Rattus norvegicus: one gene and its partner. The protein of the gene in region 1 purifies or fractionates together with the protein of each later gene. This does not show direct contact. Links are inferred from orthologs where the notes say so. Each region holds a gene or a part of one and is shown on either strand. Other genes may lie near its edges.

Region 1 (3,861 bases):
ATCTGTGTTTTCTCTTGGTAGGTTATTTACTTTCCAAGGTAGAAGAGAAAGTTGGCTCTCCGGAACGCCCACTGTCAGACCTGGGGCTTATAAGCTACCGCAGCTACTGGAAGGAAGTACTGCTCCGGTACCTGCACAACTTCCAGGGCAAGGAGATCTCCATCAAAGGTAGGTTGCATTCCTTGACTGTGGCCCCCATTCTGTTTAATCCGACCGTGGCTAGGGAGCATTCCAGAGACCGCCGCTGCAGGGCTGAAGATCCCAGAACATCTGTCCTGGGAATGGTTCTAAAGTGTTTTCTCCTGTCTGGAGTTGTTAGCACTTAATTCATATAAGAGAAAGACCTGGAGAGATGGCTCAGTGGTTAAGAGCACTGGCTCTTCTTCCAGAGAAACTGAGTTCAATTCATAGCACCACTATTATGGCCCACAACACATGGAACTCCAGTTCCAGGAACACACAGGTTCATAGACATACATCCAGGCAAAACACCCATCCACATAAAATAGACATGCATACAGACACAAGCATATATGTCATTTGTTTGCTTGTTTTTCGAGTCAGGGTTTCTCTTTGTACCCCTAGCTATCCTGGAATTCACTGTGTAGAGCAGACCCGCCTGCTCTGCTTCCTAAGTGCTGGGACTGAAGAGGTGTGCCACTATGTCCAGCACCTCATTGCTTTTGAAAATCAAGATATCATTCAGCATTCTGAAACATGTGAATTTTAGGAAAGACATCTTCCCTTTAGGATGAATTTAGGGGTTTCATATTTGACCTTGATTTCTAAGGGGTCAAAAGTAGCTTCTTAACCATTAAATGGTTTTTTGAAGTTACTTGGGCTGGTGAAACATTTGAACAGGTTGACCCAAGTAACACAGATTTGGACTCTGGGAAACTCCATGTAAGGGGGCCTTGGGAGACATGGGGTGTGGGAGTCTGCTCCCAGTGGGATCTCAGTGGCTCCTCTGTTACAGAAATTAGCCAGGAAACAGCTGTGAATCCCGTGGACATTGTCAGCACTCTGCAAGCCCTTCAGATGCTCAAGTATTGGAAAGGGAAGCACCTAGTTTTAAAGAGACAGGTGAGATTTTCCTCAGCTGCCTGTGGTGTCCTTAAAGTACAGGGGCCGCGCTACCCACAGTTACCTTCCCTTCGAGGGCTTAGCTGGAAGCTCCTCCTAGCCTTCTTCCAGCTGGCAGCAAGGTCCACAGGGCCTTTGTTGCTAAGCTTATCTCCCTGCTTGTCCTTATCAGAGCTTTTGGTAAGCTCTGTCAGATCTGGATGACACAAGCTAAGCGGCTTTGTGTGGCTTTACACTTAGGCCCATCTCTTCAAGTCCTCCTGAGTTCTAGGACTGTTGTTATGTGGAATGCCACTTCAGCTTAGGTCCAGTCTGACTTGTTAGTTATCTACACATCATAAGCATAAATCAATAATAATGATTTCCAGTTCTCATTGAAGGCAGAATAGGAATAAAGAGGAAACTTTGCAAATCAAAAGATAATATCATCTTGTACCCTAATATATCATTAGGACTTGGGTGAATCTGTTGCTAGTCATTTTAAAGCGTATTAGTTCCGTGTGTATAATAGTCGCTTCCTTATTCTTCACAGGACCTGATAGATGAATGGATCGCCAAAGAGGCCAAAAGGTCCAACTCCAACAAAACCATGGATCCAAGCTGCTTAAAATGGACCCCTCCCAAGGGCACTTAAAGTGACCTGTCATTCTGAGCCAGCGAGCCCCAGCAGTAGAAATCCGTACCCTAGGGATCTGTCTGTCATTTCTGTTGCTCTTGTGATTGGCAAGTATAGTATCCTCTGGGAAGGCCACCCCCTCAGCACTGTTCTGGCTCCAACCTGCGTGTACACTGCAGACACTGGTTCTGAGGAACTGTTGTTTCGGCCTCAGTGAGGTTGCCTGGATGGATCTGTATTAGGCTCGAGTACAGATCCCTCGTAGCACTGACCCAAGGAGTTGTGTTATGGTACTGTACCTGTCCAGTCACTGGTCCCCTCTTCATGCTCTTTAACCCCGTGAAGTTTGTTGTGTCCTGACCTTTGTGCTAGTGCTTTTTCCTGCCTGGTTACCAGACCTCCAAACATGGTTGCCACCAAAGGGCCCTTTCCAGTTAGTCCTCACACATTCTTCATGAAGGGGTGGGCAAGAGGCAGTGCCTGTGAGTGTCTGTGTGTCTGCTGGGAGGGTCCGCTCACCCTGCATTTCATCTCACAGTCACTTATTTTTCTCCCTTTTTGTCAAAAGACTTAACTTTGATCAGGGTCAGGCTGACCCAGAGCTAGGAACGCCTGACAATTCCCAGGGGTTCACAGGCCCTGGTCCATCTGAGTGAGTCGGTGAAGTTTAAGAGGTGGTGATCCTGTGTTTTCCTTTGTATTTACTTATGGGCACTGGGGCAGCATCTTGCTGGTGGAAATGAATGGGTAATTTTTTCCACAGCAGAAATGCCCCACTTTTTTTCTGCCCCCTTTTATGTTGGCAGTTGCCAAAATATTTTAACAATCTTTTTTCATGCCACATCAAGTGATCCCGCTGTGGGTCTTTCCACACTGCCTTCGCCAGCCTGGTGTGGGGCAGCTGTACTTTCCATGTAAGTTGCACTGATTTTGTCCAGAGCTTCCTGGGAGAAGTGGAAAATGTTTGAAATGACTTGTGTTTCTCAGCCCGTGACTCAGCAAGACAGAGTGGCCGCACTGCTACGGTTCGCTTCCCTTTCCAACAGTGCCTCCCCCAGCAGGCTGAAGTGCTTCTGTCTAAGAACTAACTCATTTCCCTTTCGGGACTTGCCACCATCATCCTGTTCTCTGGGTTCCTATTTTTGGTGGTGTTGAGTGAAGGAAGAAATGTCCCCTCTAATTTCTCCCTGTCCCAGTATATAACCTGCTATCTTGGGGCAGCTTTTGATGTCTGACATGTCACCCTTCCCAACTTGTCTCCTCCAGCACTGCTGTCTTCACGTGGCACCCTCTCACCACAACCCTAACTCTGGTCATTTGTGCCTTTCTCTTGTCATCTCTGTACACTACTAATATTCACTGTGGGTTGGAGGGAGCTGATTTTAAGCATGTTCAGTGGCGGCTCCCCTCCAGTTTCAGTGTAACTGTTAAAATGTATCCAAAAGCCGCTTCCTGGGGGTTTTCTTAAGGGTAAAGGCCTTTCACGGATGCTGAGCCCTTCCCCACACGTGGTAGAATGTGCTCTTCTGTATCTACTCAATAAAGCATGTTCTCTGCTCATGTCTGATTAGTCTGAGGCTTGTTTATTTGTGAAATGGTATGCTTGACCTGGAGTTGGTGACTCTGAAGTGTTAGCAGTGGGGTTTGTAGCTGTGGAGTGTTTTCCCCTGTGCAGCAGTTGTTGACAGTGTTTTCTCTGCTCAGAAGTGGTAGAACAAATGCAGTCTGCCTCCCCTGGCTCCAGGAAGTAGTTATGCACAACAGTAACTAGTTAGTATAACCCACTCTTTCATTCATCTGCCTCTGGTTTGGGGTCAAGGAACCAATGGAAAGTTAAGGTAGGCTGGGGAGTCCATGGATGCCTGTAGGAGGCAGAGACAAGTAAGTGTATTCCTTTCCTCCAAGCATGTTCACTGGGAGCAAGTCGAGCTGTGTCTAATCATTATGCAACCTAGATTATGCCCCTGGAAATAGCTGCATTCTTTGCTTGTGTTTGCTCAGGCAGGAGCAGGGAGGTTGGGCATTGCCATCTGTGGTGGAAAGGGAGCTGTGTCTGCTCACTGGCAAGGCCTCTTATTGGAGTTGGAAAATGCAATGGAGAAAAATAACCTCCCTTCTATTGATCTCAGAACAGGGTTTGTTCAAGTCTCTGTGTTGTAAAC
Region 2 (4,444 bases), on another chromosome or scaffold:
CCTAACTATTCTTGTTTTCGTCTCCTAAGCATTGACATCAAAGCCTGACCATGCATCCTTAGACATATTTATATCAGTTTTTAATCTCTTTCTCCCAGGGGAGAAAGAGAAAAAGGTAAAAGGAGGGAGACGCCATGGGTTAGGAGTCAAGAAAGCACAGCCCCGGGGTTGGGGATTTAGCTCAGTGGTAGAGCGCTTGCCTAGCAAGCACAAGGCCCTGGGTTCAGTCCCCAGCTCCGAAAAAAAGAAAAAAGAAAAAAAAAGAAAGAAAGAAAGAAAGAAAGAAAGAAAGCATAGCCCCAGGGGTGGCAATTAAAGTTAAGAGCAGCCCAGATAAAACATAGTAATAACTTGAGGTTGTTGATTAAAAAATAGATTTTAACAACATAGAGGGTAGATATCTGCTGAGCTCCAGTGCTAACTACGGCTTATTGTAAATAACGTGTGCATTTTACCCAAAAACCAAATGATCAAAGGCGGGGTAGAAACCCCAAACTGAACTTAAGTAAGCCCTACAACAGTTGGGACAGAGACACGTAGCTCTGGGTGTTCATTGACCAGCCAATCTAACTGAACCCCAAACTCCAGATTCAGCAAGAGATTTCATCCCAAACAAAATGAGGTGGCTCATGATTGAGGAAGACACCTGACGTAAGTTTCTGGCTTCCACGTGCAGACATACGCATACACACACAAACACAGAAGTATGTGGTTTCAGTCACCTAGCACTTGCGAGGGCTCGCTTTTCTAGGCATCTTTTCAGACACTTCCCAGGGAATAAGATAGATAACTCCTTCCTCTGTGTAGTTCACATTCAGCTAGAAGTAGAGTAACAAGCATGGTAAACTGGTAAATTACGTAGCTTAGAAGATGGTGTTACCAAAAACTAAAATAGGAAATAGGATGAACAGCCCATTGCTGGGTGAGGTAAGGGATTTGCTGTTGTTTTCCTCCCAAGATAGGGTTTCTCTGTGTAGCCCTGGGTGTTCTGGACTCCGTTTTGTAGACCAGGCTGGCCTGGAACTTAGAGATCTACTTGCCTCTTGAGAGCTAGGATTTAAAGGTGTACACCACCACTGCCCAACTGAGATTTGCAATTTTAAAGTGACCAGAGAAAACGTTTCACCGATGTGATGCTTGTAAAGAGATTTAAGAGTGAGAGGCCTTTAAATCAGCAGTTCTCAACCTGTGGGTCTTGACCCCTTTGGCAGGGGTCAAACCACTGTTTTCATAGGGATCGTCTAAGACCATTGGAAAACAGATATTTACATTACGACTCATAACAATAGCAAGATTACAGTTATGAAATAGTAATGAAAATAACTGTGTTTGGGGGAGGGGTCACCACAACATGCGGAACTGCATTCCAGGGCCGCAGTGTTAAGAAAGTTGAGAACCACTGCTTTAGAGGGGTATTGTTTAGACAGGAAACAGACCTTTTGGTGTCCATTTGAATGGATGGAGGGTGAATGAGTGCATGCAGCAAGGGACATCCAGCTCACACTCCCGTGGCCTTCTCTCCTTAGGCCTGTCTTCGTCCTTTCCAGTTGCCATGAGGAAGCCTCGCCGAAAGTCACGGCAGAATGCCGAGGGCCGGAGATCCCCATCCCCATACAGTCTTAAATGCTCACCCACACGGGAGACCTTGACCTACGCCCAAGCCCAGAGGATCGTGGAAGTCGATATGGACGGCCGCCTGCACCGTATCAGCATTTATGACCCGCTTAAGATCATCACCGAGGATGAGCTGACGGCTCAGGATATCACCGAATGCAACAGCAACAAGGAGAACAGCGAGCAGCCCCAGTTCCCCGCCAAGTCCAAGAAACCCTCATCCAAGGGCAAGAAGAAGGAGTCCTGTTCCAAGCATGCACCCGGCACGTCCTTCCACCTCCCGCAGCCCAGCTTTCGAGTGGTGGACACAGGGAGCCAGCCGGAAGCACCCCCATTGCCCGCTGCTTACTACCGCTACATCGAGAAGCCTCCGGAAGATCTGGACGCAGAGGTGGAGTATGACATGGACGAGGAGGACATGGCCTGGCTCGACATGGTCAATGAGAAGCGCCGAGCAGACGGGCACAGCTCCGTGTCGGCGGACACCTTCGAGCTGCTGGTGGACCGGCTTGAGAAGGAGTCGTACCTGGAGAGCCGCAGCAGTGGGGCTCAGCAGTCACTGATCGACGAGGACGCCTTCTGCTGCGTGTGCCTGGATGATGAGTGCCACAACAGCAACGTCATCCTCTTCTGCGACATCTGCAACTTAGCTGTGCACCAGGAGTGCTACGGCGTTCCCTACATCCCAGAGGGCCAGTGGCTCTGCCGCTGCTGCCTGCAGTCTCCCTCTCGGCCTGTGGATTGTGTCCTGTGCCCCAATAAAGGGGGGGCCTTCAAACAGACCAGTGATGGCCACTGGGCCCATGTAGTCTGCGCCATCTGGATCCCTGAAGTCTGCTTCGCCAATACGGTGTTCCTGGAGCCCATTGAGGGCATCGACAGCATCCCGCCTGCCCGCTGGAAGCTAACCTGCTACATCTGCAAGCAGAAGGGGCTGGGCGCGGCCATCCAGTGCCATAAAGTGAACTGCTACACCGCCTTCCACGTGACGTGCGCGCAGCGGGCCGGGCTGTTCATGAAGATTGAACCCATGAGAGAAACCAGTCTCAATGGCACCATCTTTACCGTGCGCAAGACCGCCTACTGCGAGGCCCACTCCCCAAGTGTTGCCACTGCCAGGAGGAAGGGTGACTCACCGAGGAGCCTCAGTGAAGTCGGGGATGAGGATGGGCTGAAAGAGGGTGGTGGGGAGGAGGAACAGGAAGAAGGAGAGGAGGAGGGCCAGGAAGGCCAAGGTGGGGTGGGCAGCCCCCTCAAGGGGGTGTCCAAGAAGAGTAAGATGACTTCAAAGCAGAAGATCAAGAAGGAGCTGGAGGAAGCTGGCCGAGAGACACCCTCCATCACTGTCCCCATGGTCACTGTCCCACAGATACCCTCTTACAGGTGAGCCTCATGAGACAGTCTCTTGCGGGACTCTTGGTTTGTTCTTCACAGTAGCCCAGGTCTTCGCCAACACCGTGGCTGGATGCCTGGTCTCCTCTGTGTTCCCTGATGGGCCTGTCACTAACTGACGGGTTCTGTCCGTGCCCTCGAAGCAATGTGCTTCCTTTGGTTCAGAGTGACATAAACCCTGGTGACAGTGTAAGTGACGTGGTAGCTTTCACAGTGACACTGAGTGACATTGTGGACAGGGTAAATCCTCACTGTTAACTGTCCCGGGGATCGCTATATGGTTATCATCTCTGGTCTTTGCAGAGATGATTAGTATGTGCAGGCTGTGTCCTTAAACTCATCTCTGTGACAACTCCAAGGGCTCTCACGCAGGCTCCCCAAAACTCAATTCCAAGTGAGGAGCCCTAAGTGTGTAACACCTGCCTTCTGAAAATCTCTCATCCGGGAAAGACTGGGAACTTGTTTATGAGGGATGTGTGTGGGTGGGGCAGTCCTCCTCTTGAGAAGCTTTACATTTTGGGGAAAATAGAGCTTTATAACCAAGCCTCCCGGCCCCGTCCTCAGAGAGAGCACTGCACCTGTGTTAAACTATCTGTTCAGTAGCTGGGGATGCTGGTGGGTTCCAGCAGAGCCCACCTCAAGGCTGATTCCTTTAAAACATATACAGTAGAAGCTGGGTGTGGTGGTATACACCTTTAACCCCAGCACTTGGGAGGCAGAGTCAGGTGAATTTCTGGAAGTTCAAGTCTAGCCTGCTGTAAGTCATGAGTTCTAGGCCAGTAAGGGCTGCACAGCAAGCCCATGTTCAGAAAAAAAAAAAGGAAAGGAGACAAGCTGTAGAGGAGGAGGGAATCTCGGAGACTATTCATCTAATGTAGTCCTTGCACCTTCTCCCACATTCCCAGATGAAGAAACCACAGCCACGGGAGGTAAAGTTGTTCTCTCCTTTGTTCGTTCAATGAGGTATTTATTGAGCACTTACTACATGCCACATCCTGTTCTAAGGGGTGGGATCAGGTGGGAAAGGTCAGGCGCTGGGCTGTAGGCGCTAGGCTGTCTTGAGTAGAAGGCTATGATAAAGGAGCATCTGGCAGGGTGCAGGAAATTGGCACTAGGAGAGGAACAGGCAGCCAGACCTGCCATGCTGGGAAGGTACCAGAACAAGATCAGGACAGGGAGGCTCTTATTTTGAGAACTTCAGCAACTCTGTGTCTTCCAGGCACAGAGATGGTCTTGGTTACCTCTTTCTTGAAGTAACTGGGTCAGTGCTCGGTCCCCATTTGTAGGGTGACCGTGCCCTGGGGCTAGCTTTTGGTTGTCATGGCTGTTTGAGGTGCCTTTCCCAGGAGCCAGATTTGCCGGCTAAGAAGAAACACACATGAATACTTGTGTGCCCTTTGGTAAGTTACCCAATTAATGGCTCTAAGCCCGGTTTTGT

What was found.
Region 2: the proteins of Kat7 (region 1) and Brpf3 purify together in Homo sapiens (affinity purification with mass spectrometry; 3 studies listed by BioGRID and IntAct, counting the BioPlex papers as one, with this or other methods). This does not show direct contact. The link is inferred for Rattus norvegicus from reciprocal best matches to the Homo sapiens genes KAT7 and BRPF3.

The regions. Positions count from the first base shown.
Region 1 is NC_086028.1:80,717,737-80,721,597, reverse strand, and holds the end of Kat7 (histone acetyltransferase KAT7), read left to right. Parts: intron 1-21; coding exon 22-168; intron 169-976; coding exon 977-1,083; intron 1,084-1,615; coding exon 1,616-1,717; 3' UTR 1,718-3,263; downstream 3,264-3,861. UniProt on the Homo sapiens protein: Catalytic subunit of histone acetyltransferase HBO1 complexes, which specifically mediate acetylation of histone H3 at 'Lys-14' (H3K14ac), thereby regulating various processes, such as gene transcription, protein ubiquitination, immune regulation, stem cell pluripotent and self-renewal maintenance and embryonic development.
Region 2 is NC_086038.1:6,871,060-6,875,503, forward strand, and holds the start of Brpf3 (bromodomain and PHD finger-containing protein 3), read left to right. Parts: upstream 1-1,525; 5' UTR 1,526-1,526; coding exon of another isoform or gene 1,527-1,552; coding exon 1,553-2,997; intron 2,998-3,911; exon of another isoform or gene 3,912-3,935; intron 3,936-4,444. UniProt on the Homo sapiens protein: Scaffold subunit of various histone acetyltransferase (HAT) complexes, such as the MOZ/MORF and HBO1 complexes, which have a histone H3 acetyltransferase activity.